3 linked regions of the Alligator mississippiensis genome follow. The protein of the gene in region 1 purifies or fractionates together with the protein of each later gene. This does not show direct contact. Links are inferred from orthologs where the notes say so. Each region holds a gene or a part of one and is shown on either strand. Other genes may lie near its edges. The genes, in order: ASF1A, RBBP7 and CDIN1.

What was found.
Region 2: the proteins of ASF1A (region 1) and RBBP7 purify together in Homo sapiens (affinity purification with mass spectrometry; 5 studies listed by BioGRID and IntAct, counting the BioPlex papers as one, with this or other methods). This does not show direct contact. The link is inferred for Alligator mississippiensis from reciprocal best matches to the Homo sapiens genes ASF1A and RBBP7.
Region 3: the proteins of ASF1A (region 1) and CDIN1 purify together in Homo sapiens (affinity purification with mass spectrometry; 3 studies listed by BioGRID and IntAct, counting the BioPlex papers as one, with this or other methods). This does not show direct contact. The link is inferred for Alligator mississippiensis from reciprocal best matches to the Homo sapiens genes ASF1A and CDIN1.

The regions. Positions count from the first base shown.
Region 1 is NC_081824.1:103,481,177-103,484,922, forward strand, and holds the start of ASF1A (histone chaperone ASF1A), read left to right. Parts: upstream 1-1,096; 5' UTR 1,097-1,239; coding exon 1,240-1,348; intron 1,349-3,746. UniProt on the Homo sapiens protein: Histone chaperone that facilitates histone deposition and histone exchange and removal during nucleosome assembly and disassembly.
Region 2 is NC_081824.1:321,631,823-321,635,568, forward strand, and holds the start of RBBP7 (histone-binding protein RBBP7), read left to right. Parts: upstream 1-1,289; 5' UTR 1,290-1,389; coding exon 1,390-1,405; intron 1,406-1,507; coding exon 1,508-1,652; intron 1,653-3,426; coding exon 3,427-3,569; intron 3,570-3,746. UniProt on the Homo sapiens protein: Core histone-binding subunit that may target chromatin remodeling factors, histone acetyltransferases and histone deacetylases to their histone substrates in a manner that is regulated by nucleosomal DNA.
Region 3 is NC_081825.1:246,501,528-246,505,273, forward strand, and holds the start of CDIN1 (CDAN1-interacting nuclease 1), read right to left. Parts: upstream 2,161-3,746; 5' UTR 1,960-2,160; coding exon 1,859-1,959; intron 1-1,858. UniProt on the Homo sapiens protein: Plays a role in erythroid cell differentiation.

The sequences.
Region 1 (3,746 bases):
GGAGAGAACACCCTCAGACCCAATATGAACATGAACTTGCAGCCCTTCCTCTGATTGGTAGCCACCAGTCAAGGGAAGAGCCCCATTGACTTCAAAAGATCTGAGCAAGCAAGTGCAGCACTTGCAAAAGGGTTGCAGGTTTGGCTCCTTACGTTCTGGGGGTCCCAGAGATGCTCCATGGTACCTAAAGGGTCAGCACAAACATTTGATCACAAGAGAAGAATTGCTGCTTATGTGTCTGTTTCCCTCAGTGAAAATAAAAAGTTATTTTCAACATCCAGCCACATTATACAGGTATAAAAATTATATAATACGTATATTAAATGTATATAGTTATATACAGGCAACCCCCACTTAACTCTCTTTGGCTTAGCGCTATTTCTCTATAACGCTCATTTAAAATTGATACCCTATTCCACTTGGCGCTCAGCGAGTTTTGTTACAACGCTCAAGGTCACCATCTTGGGTCATTAAAAACAATTGTGGTTGCCATCTTGGGTTGTCAAATACTTTTGGTTTCACTTAATGCTGGGTTTTTCAGGAACCATATAGGGTGCTAAGTGGGGGCTGCCCGTATACATGCATAGAAATGATATAAAATGCATATTTGTATCTACTCTCTTTCTCCCCACCTCTCCCTCCCCCTCTCCATCTCTCCCCATTTCTTCCCCCTTCCAACTCTTTCCCCATTCTTTTTCCCCCCTTCAATGTCTCTCTCTCTCCATCTTCTATACACAGACAAGAAGAAGAAGAAAGGAAAACAACCCTGCCTTTGGAAAAGGGACAGAGCTGGAAACGAAGCCGCCGGACAAGCCAAGCCGCGAAGAGACCCGACAGCGGCGTCAGCCACGCTGTGGGGCCGGCTCCTCCCTGCGCGCCTGTTCCGCGGGGCTCCGGCAGAGGGAGACGCGGCCAGTCGCGGCGCCGCGCGCTGCCGCGCAGCCTGTCTTGACCGTGCGGAGCGGGCGGGGCGGGGCGCGGGGGGCGGGGCTCGGGCCCGCGGGCCAATCGGCGCCGGCGCTGTCCCTTAAGCGAGGAGAATGGGGCGGCGCGGAACGGACTAGCGAGGCGGCGGCGCGCTGCGGGCGCGGGGAAGGCAGGCGGGCCGGCGGACAGGGGGCGGGGGAGCGGAGAGGAAAGAAAAGAAAAGAAAAGAAGGAAAGAAAGAGACGACAAGAAAGTTGCGGGCGGGGGGAGCGCGCGGGGGCCCGAGGCCGGGCGCAGCCCATTGTGCAGACCATGGCCAAGGTGCAGGTGAACAACGTGGTGGTGCTGGACAACCCCTCGCCCTTCTACAACCCCTTTCAGTTCGAGATCACCTTCGAGTGTATCGAGGACCTGTCGGAAGGTGAGGCCGCCCGCACCCGGCGAGCAGTGGGGCAGGGTGGAACCGGGCGGCCCGGCTCGGGGGCAAGTTGCGAGGAAGTTGTGCGAGTGGCGGGAGCCATGTTGCCAGCTTTGTGCGCGCCGGCGCCGGCGCATCGGGGCCGGGAGGCGGGCTGCGAGCGGGGTCGGGAGCTGCCGGGCTGAGGAGCGCGGGAAGCGGCGGGACCGAGCTGGGAGGAGCTGCCGCCTTCCCTTCCCCTCTCCGGGCCGCGCTCCCCAGCCCCGCGTGGTGGAGCGGCGCTAGCCGCAGCCCCTGCTCCCGCGGCGGCCTACGGCCCCCCGAGCCGCCCGGCCTCCGCTTTGCCCGCAGGCCGGCCAGGCTCTGTGGGGAGAGGGGGTGTCTTGCACCAAATAGTTGGGGGAACTGCTTTTCGGGGCACCAGCACCCTTTTTCAGGGGCAGGGAGAGAGCGCTCTGCCTGCTCCTGGATGGAGCAGGAGCCGACATACAAAGCCTGTGCCTGAAGAAGGGCGTTAGTTGGAAAAAATGTTTTTCAAGGCACCAGTGCCCTCGCACGCTTTGTATGTCGGCTCCCGCTCCCTCCAGGAGCAGGTAGAGCGCTCTCCCCATGCCTGAAGAACACTGGTGCCTGGAAAAACACTTTTTCCAACTAACGCCCTTCTTCAGGCACATGCTTTATATATTGGTGCCTAGAGAAGGCAAAACACTCTCCCTGCACCTGAAGAAGTGTGTTGGTGCCCCCAAAAACATTTTGTGATAGACTAACTAAATAGTTGGAAAAAACTGTCACCTTTACCCAAAGACGCTCAAGTCAGAAGGCACGTGGTGCTAGACTGGCTGCCAGTGGGCAAGTGGGAAGAAGGCCCTGCCAGGCCTGGGGGAACGGGGCCACTCTCAGTGCTGTCTCTGGAGGACGTCCTCCCTGGGGCAGTGCTGGGACAGGCTGGCAGAGGCTGCTCCCCCAGCCTCTCTCTAGTGATTCTTAACTGTTTCAGATGGGGGGGGGTGTGCTAACCTGGGGGATGCCAGTGCAGTCACACAGGCAATGGGGGGAGGCTAACCTGAGGCACCTCATCACCTGTGTGACTGGACTGGCACCCCCCAGCAACGACTGCCGGGCCTTGCTTACTTCCTTGCAGGGAGGAGCCTGAACCTGCACTCCTCTTGCACCTCAGGCACCCTTTAAAGGATCTCACATCCTCAGGGTACCAACCTCCTGGTTGAGAAACACTGTCTTGGTTTAAACAAGGTTTGGCCCAAGCCCCTGTGGATGTGGCAGCTGGTGCACCAGTGCCACAGCCTGTTTTTAAAGTCTGGGAGCACTAGCAGACAGGGCATATTACCTGGACCTGTGTGCCTAGGACTTCTGCCCCTCCTCTCCTGCTCTTGTGTATTTAGCTCATATTCATTACTAATGGATTTGCGTATTGAAGCAAGGATGGTTGGCATCTCAATGAGCCAAAATTTAAAACTGCCTGCTTGCTTACTTAGCAATATTAGGCTCCTGTTTTCAACTAGGAATGAAAAGCACACTACCGTTTTTCACATCCCTGCCTATTACAAGTACAGATTTTTTACTTTTGATTTTGATTTTTTTTTATACAGGTCGTTAAAGTTACAGAAAATACTAATACATGTAGTGAAGGAAGTTGCTGTTGCCTTATTTTTAATTACTACTATCCAAATACTACAGGACCTGCTGCTCGCCCCCCCACTCCCTGCACCATGTTTAAAGGGCTCGATTCGGGCAGGGAGCCCCTTCTTGGCCAAGTGGGGGGAGTTCCTGGTCCCAGGGAGGGAACCCAGGCATCCCCAGCATGTGCTGCCCCCACCCCTACAGCTCAGCCCATGTTATTTCAGTGAGTTTATACTAGAGTTATCTGCAATTCTGATTTTTTTTCAATGGATCAGGGGGCCCCCCAAAATTGTGGGCGGGCCCTGATCAATTTTTCTCTCCAAATGTTATTTAATTTTTAAATGGAGTCCATTCAGTTATGCCAGTTTAAGATTCCTTGCATCCATCAATACCTTTTTAAATGGTTTTAACTGAAAAGTTTTATGCTTTAAAATGTACCACTTAAAAAAAAAAAAAAAAAAAAGTTGCAAAACAAGTTGTGGTTTGTAGATAATATAAGCTATCAGTCCACAATTAATTTTATACTGGCTTAATAACTTATAATAAATGTGTTCGAGAGAATCTTAGCCTTTGCTGTCCTCTCCTCATAAGACTTAAGGCGCTGTCCTCAATAGGACAGCCAGACTGGGTCAGGTCACTAGACATTTTTGTCTGGTGACTTGTCTTTGCAGTAACCCAAACCAGATGCTTCAAAGGTAGGCAAAAACAACCTAGTTTGGCACACTAAGCTGGAAGAAAAATTATGTCACCTTAAAAGATAAAT
Region 2 (3,746 bases), about 220 Mb from region 1:
CCAGACACACTGGAACAGGACTGGCCAATTGGCAGCCTGGAGAGGTCAAATTGTGGCCGGCAGGGCTTGTTGGCGTAACTCCACAACCCGGGCAGGGTCACCACAGCTCCTGCCCCCCGGCCTGCTGTCAGATTGAGGTTGTTGGCCACTAAAAACTGGCAAAAGAGGAAAGGCAGCAGGGTTGGTGTGACCCCTGAGTGGCCAAGGTGGGTCATCTGGGCCCAGGGAAGCTCTGCTGCCTGCCTCTGGCCTGCAGGGCCAGAGGAGTTGGGGCACACTCTACTTCTGCGCCGCTGGGGTGTGAGCTGAGCTTGTTCTGGGGGTGGCAAGGCACAGTCTGGCCAACCAGGGGGCTGGGGCAGGTATCCCGGCACTGGGAAGGACTGGGGAGGACGGGCAAGTCCCAGCCCTCTTTTGGTGAGGAGCAAAGTGCCAAGCGTCTGCTGGGCCTGGCAGCAAAGGGGGAAAGCTTGGCAGGAAGGTTTCAAACACCAGAGGGACAAAAAGAGCATCCTGAAGCGCCCCCTCAGAGACAGGCAGCAGCCCCCAGCAATGCTGCCCTGTGGGGGCAGGAGTCCAGGTGACTTAGGGACAAGTAGGCGGGAGCCACGGTGTGATGTGCATTGTCAGGTCTTAAATATTAAATTATCATATTTGCTCAAAAACTATCATACACTGAAAATTATGCAGACACATGCAAACAAGTATGCAGATAAGCCTTTTTTATTTATTTTTTATTGCTCACTGCAACTGGCCAGGGAGTGAGTGAGGTGTGGGTCATGCAAGTTGAAACATGCTTTTATTTCAAGGCAAGTAGTCATGGGGGAGTACCAGCAACACGCCCAGAGGGTTCCCGGTGAGTCGTGACTCGGGTTTTGCATGTTAGTTGCCTCCATTATTGCCTCAAAAAGTACTGTACATTTTGAACACTTTTCCTATTATTGATTGTACATCGTAGAAGGGTTGAAATGACGGTGTAAATTCTCAGACACCCAGCAACAATGGCTGTGCCCAGCACCCCCCGCTAACGGGCGCTGATCTGCCACGTTCACCGTTTACGGCTCCCCCCGCCCTCCACGACAGTGCACTCTACTGCGCATGCGCTTAACGCCCTGTCAGGCGGGAGAAGAGTGGAAGGAGGGCGCGTGCGCAGGCGACGCTCGGTCGCCGGCGGGCAAGTGGGGGTGGGGTTCTTGTGTTCCGCGGAGGCCGGCCGCAGGAAGCGGACGCAAGCGCAGGCGGCGTCCTGGCGTCGAGGCGGGGCGGTGGGTGCTGCGCATGCGCGCGGGTGGGAAGGCGGGAGCCGAGTTTGGAGCGGGGCGTCTTGAGCGCGCCTGCGCAGCGGCTGGCGCGGGGCGCGAGATCGGCCCCGCCTCCACCCCTCGCGCGATGGCGACCCGGGAGGGTAAGTGGGGAGGTGGGGTGGGGGAAGGGGGAGGGCAGGACAGGGGGTCTCGAGCTTGAGGGAGCCATTGGCCGGGACCTGATGCGGCGGTTGGGCCGGCAGTGGCGGAGGAGCCGGCGGAGGAGCGGGTGATCGGTGAGGAGTACCGCGTGTGGAAGAAGAACACGCCCTTCCTCTACGACCTGGTCATGACCCACGCGTTGGAGTGGCCCAGCCTCACCGTGCAGTGGCTGCCTGACGTCACCAGGTGAGGCGGGGCCCCTTCCCCTGCCCCCGGGCACGCGAGGCGGGGCCTCAGTTAACGGTCCTGCCCCTGAGCGTTCTAGGGCCGTTAACGGCCCCGCCTCGGAACGTTCCAATGGGGGCCCCTCGGCCCTGCCCTGTTCCACGTGGGGCTGTTTCTACCTGTGCAGGAGGCAAGAGGCACCCCATGGCAGCTGTGCTGTGACACGGATGCTGAAGCCTGCTGGCCTCTTGTCCTGCTGAGGGGGCTTAGACCCCTTGCAGGTGTCCATCAAGAAGTTGGGGTGCTCCTGAGAGCTCCCAGGAGCCATAGCTGCCCCATGACTGCCACACATGGGCAGCCTCCCTTACTCTGAGGAGGGGAGAGGAAGGAAAGGGATGGCAGCCCAGCTGATGAGGCAGGGGTGGATCTTGGAGCAGCTGATGGGGCAAGGGAAGGGTGTGGGGCTCATGTTGCCATGCATCTGCCAAAGCAGTTGCCCTCCCCTGCTGTGATAGAGGATATTCATCTCTGTGCTGTTTTCTCTAACGGTTGTACATTTTGATGTTCCAAGTAGCATCTTGAAATAAATACCTACTGGGTGTCAGAACAAAGTCAAAGGCCGGGGGGGGGGGGGGGGGGGGTGTGTGTGTGTGTGTGTGTGTGTGTGTGTAGCTCGTGTTTTACAGTACAGCTGGGGTGCAGTCATTGGAGAATTGGCGCGGGTTTGTTTTTCCTCTAAAATCATAGTTTGTGTAAATGATGGCTTTACATCTATTGTTATTTTAGCATGTGAAAGTATTTGGGCTTGCAAGGACTTGAGAACAGGAGGCTGGGAAGGAGAGAGAAAGGTTAACTAAGACCCTTGTGTGAAGTGCTTCTGCTTACCTCGCATATTAATGGCTTGACTTTTTTAAAATAGCTAGTTTTAATTGTATAGCTAGTGTCACAATATGTAAATCACTTAAAACCAACATGGTCCCTTTTGAGTTTCATCTGCCATGATGGGAGGCTTATTCATACAGGGGTGAGGAGAGCATTGGATGCAGTATAGCAATGGGATTGTGAACTGTTAGGGTTTTTTTTCCTCCAGAAGCTTTGTTTGGTCTGTACTGGGCCTTTGCTTTCTTGAACACAGAAATTGCTTTGAGTCTTAAGGCGCTACCTTCTTTCACAGTTTATTAACTGTCATTTGCTACTGAAGAAACAATAGTCTAGAAGTCTCCTGATTCCATTTTTAAGTTACAGCATAAAATTGTGGGCATGTTTTTTTGGTTGTTGGTAGATAATGCACGTTCTGCTGTAATTTCTAACTTATTCCCCACAACAGTTTCCTAGTAATAGACCATATTTAAACATTCAATATTGTTTTCTAAGCTACTCATGTTTTTGGTTTTTGTTTGGAAAATCTTTACATGAGAACAAAAATCTCATGTCCTGCCCTTCTCAGGTACTAATGTCAAAATGCCTTTATTTAATCTTTTTGTGCAAATAAAAAGTCATAATTCTGCTGTTCACATAGTAATGAAAATCATTATAAAATTATTTTGGGATTGTCACTCCAATTTTGGCAAAGATTTATCTGTCATGTCTACAGTGCTGTGAACCTCTGCAGTTCAGCTTAAGCTCTTATACTAGTATTCCTAATATGGCAGAAAAAAAGTGCTCTTTGAATTAATCTCTGGTCTCCTAGACCAATTGGGTGTCACGGGCAAACTTTGTAGCAAAAAAAATAAGTTAAAAAAAAACAAACCTGAACTCTTTGACTATTTTGTATGACTATTGTTTTATCGAGCAGGCCAGAAGGAAAAGACCATGCCCTTCACTGGTTAGTGTTGGGAACACACACCTCTGATGAACAGAACCATTTGGTGGTTGCAAGAGTCCAGATTCCTAATGATGATCAGTTTGATGTCTCTCAATATGATAGTGAGAAGGGAGGTAGGTTTTGCAGGCATTTTCAGTGTGTATTCTTCTAGCCACAGTGGTAAATAATGCATATCTTATTGAATTACATTCTTACTTGAAATATTTTTTTTTAATTAAATGTCTGGTTTTAACATACGTGTATACTGCAACTTGTTTACTAGCATACACTATACAGAGTAGTTGAGTGCT
Region 3 (3,746 bases), on another chromosome or scaffold:
CTGACTAAACCATCCTATTGTAGTATTTGTCTAACACGCTTAACTTTGTTCTCAACTTCATTACCCAAAGAACTCTTTGAAGCACTTCACTCCTAGCACTTCTCCTCCACTGCAGATTTTTAACCTTGAATTTTAGGATTTTTAAATTAAAGACATAGTATGTGGAAATGTATTACTATGGCCTCGATTTCAGAGAACAGAAAGGTGCTTCATCTGTATATTTAAATACCAACATTAAAGGTAACTGCTAGTCATTTTATCAGAAGTTACAAGCAGGATAAATGCTTAAAATTCTCCCCATACCGAACAGACTACAATGCTTCAAAATGTATTTGGGATCTTCTAAAGAAGTTGATGGTTCCCAGTGGACAGTTGTCACCATCTAATAAACTGTAACCACCATTCACATGCTGACTTGCAATCCAAGCAAATAAGTTAATGAGCAAATGAAAAGGAAGGTCAGACTATTCTCTTACTCAGGACAGCATTGACACTTCTTGGTAGTACGATGTTGAAAAACCAACTCTGCTGCTTTCTAGTTTCTTTCCTATGAAAGAACACACTGAGGGAACAAGGACTTTTACTTCAATGCAATTTACTTGGACTACATTCACTCATTTTTCAAAAAGTGTTTAGTACCATTCATTTTATCCTACAGCGAAGCTGATATGAAAAACAGCTAAACTGCAAATTGGAGCAAGGTATGCAAGGCAAAGGGAGCACTTTAGCAGCGTATTTATGCTGGCTCTTCTGCGTTGACCACCAAGGGATCTGAAGCACCTCAGAAATAATAATGAACGTACCCCTGTGGTATTCCCCTGAGGGAGGGAATTATTTTTATTCCCATTTTACAGAGGAATAAAAGCAGAGAAAGTTAGAACCTGAATGTTGCACATCCACCTCTCAGGAGGTCCACTGCGCCTTTTTGAAGGGCCTGCCCAGTTACAGAACTGGAGGGAGGAGCTGGAAATAGAATCCAGATCCTAATTCCAGTCCTGTGGATTAATCACCATGATTCCTGGCCTTAACAATAGAAGCTGTGAATTATTTGCTCAGGAGGTTGTTGTTGGGGTTTTTTTAAATAACCATACATAGTGCAAGGGACCGCCTATTTTTTCCCCTCAAATATTTCATGTGGTAAGTGACTGATGCTCTTATCTGGTCAGAGGTATCCATCCCACGCTTCAGAAGCCTTGTTAATTGAAAATAAATGCCCCCCCAAAAGAAAGTCCCAATGCAGGGTAACAGAACGTGCACGTACCCCACTGAGATTAAAACCCAGGAAATGCTGCCTGTCTACCGCTGCCCCCTTGTTACAAGTCAGCTGCCTCTTCCCAAAAACCACAGGGATAAAGCGGTGTTTTCAGGAGAAGGGTAACAGATGCATGGCGCTATTCTAGCTGGGCAAAAACAAAACTGGGAGATGAGGCTCCGCTCATCACCAAGCAGGCCCTGCTGGTGTTTTAAGCCCAAAATGTATTCATGTGCCTTCAACAGGTAAAGTTTGGGAGATGTGAAAGCAGGTGGATACTTGTGTAAGCAGGTCCCGGCCTTTGCCTTCAACCTGAGAGAGAGAGCTGTATGCAGAAGTGGGCTTGCTGGTCTGAAGGTCGCTTGAAACGGGGAGCGACACCCCAAGTCAGGCAGGTGCCACCGCAAACAGGGGCCAAGGCAGCAGGCCAGAAGCACTGTGGGAACCGGGCAGCCTTTATTTCGCAGCAGGTCCAGGACCAGGGCGCGGGGGCGTGGCTGTGGTTGTGCACCGTTCAGGGCCATGAGGCCGCCGGCCACCGCCACACCCGCGCGGGCGGCGCCGGGAGCAGAGTAGAGCAGAGCAGGGCGGGCGGCGGCGGCTTACCTGGGGAATCGCTCCTTCAGCCGCCTCAGGCTCTGGCGGGTGGGCTGCACGTGCCCCAGGAACCGGGCGATCTCCTCGTACTGCGCCTTGCTCAACTTCATGCCGCAGCCGCACAGCAGCTCCCCCGCCCGCAGCTGGGCCGGCCTGTGCAGCACCAGCTGCAGCAGCAGCAGCAGGGGGCGGCGGTAGGGAGCAGCGCCGCGCTCCGGCGGCGGCGGCCTGGAGGCAGGAGGAAGCGGCGCCGTGGCCTGTCACGCAGCCAGCCCCGCAGCCGGGCGCCCATGCGCCGTGCAGCTGCGGCCCCGCCCCGCAGGCTGGGCAGGGGGAGGGAGCCGCGGCGAGCGGGGCGGAGCCCGCTCCCATTCCCTCTCGGGCGGCGCCGCCCCGGCCGCGGGCCCAGCTCTGCCCGCGCTCTGCTCTTCACGCCTGACACGCGCCCTCGCTCCTGCCGCCTGGCCCGCTGTCCCGGGTGGGCCTGCGCCTTCTGTGGTGGCTCTGCCGACCTCTGCCACCGTCTGTTTCAGGACTCCCGCCTTGTGACCCCCTCTTCCTGGGCAAAGCCCCGTTGAGGTCATTGGGACCATCAGAGCTGCCTTTCTTATGGCAGGCCAGGTTCTTTGGATGGACGTGCTAGCTTTTATTAGACCGAGTCTTGGGGGGGGGGAAAGATCTTGGCAAGCTTTTGGGCACAGTCGCCCTTCTTCGGGCCTAGGACATCTTTGCTATTCTGATCCTCCAAGGCACGAGGACCGCAAAACCCTTCCCCTGTGCCAGGGGGTCTCAAACTGTGGGTCGTGACCCTCGGGGGGTCACAAGCAACTTAAAGGGGGCAGCAAACTTCCCAGGGGGTACGTGCAGTGGTGCAGAGTGGTGGATGGTGGCGGCGGCTGCCGTGTGCGAGCTCTCCCCCCGTGCACCGCTGCTGCCACCCAGCGCTTGGGGTCGCGGGTATGACAAAGTTTGAGAACCTCTGCCTTATGTCTTCAAAACAAATCAGTCAGTTGCTTATGTTCTCACCAGCTTCACAAGTGTTAGGCCCTGGTTTTAGCCTGTTTCGGGCATTACAAAAGACAGTATATGCAGGCTCCGGCAGCAGACCCCTGATTGAAGTGCTTTGCATTTAAGATCTAAGGTTCGTGGAGGACTGGGCTCCCTTGAAGTACAGAACCTCAGCTGCAGACTACGGGTTAACCGTGCAGAAACTTGATGCTTCTCTTTCACTCTATCTCTGGAAATATTCATGTTGATTGTAATGGGCCTGGGCTGCTGCAGAAAGTACATATAAATAACAGTACTGCCAGAGATCCTGAATCTGCCTCCCTTACTCCCCAAATCTATAAAATTGGCTTTAAAATCGGGAGACTTAAAAAAAAAAAACTTGAGTTCTTTTTATTTGCCGTTGGATTTCAAGCCTTTGGGGGTTTATGTTTTCCAGTGTTCTTGGAGAACCTGGGAGCCAAAAACGTAAAAAATAAAAATGAAAACAGGTTTCCACAGGGCTGCAAGATCTGGAGCTTTAGAAAAATGATAAAGAAATGATAAATATTGCCAGACTTGTGGTGACTTTGTGCATGCTGGTAATGCCAGAGCACTTTCAGAAGGACTTGTTGTATTGGTTCCTAATTAACCCTCCAATGCTGCACGTGTATATGTGCAGGAGACTTTGTGTCCATTCATGGTCATATAGACTTCAGGAGGGGTCTGTGTCAGCACAAGAGTCATCCATTAAGCAGTTATATTAACATTAAGAGTTGTGACCTAGATACATAAAAATATTTTAAGTTTATATGAAAATAGTGGTTTATTTCCATTTCAGCATTCCTCTGCAGAAATATGTACCAGGCTGGTCATTTCTGCTAGCATTTATGTACGAAATTAACATGAATTT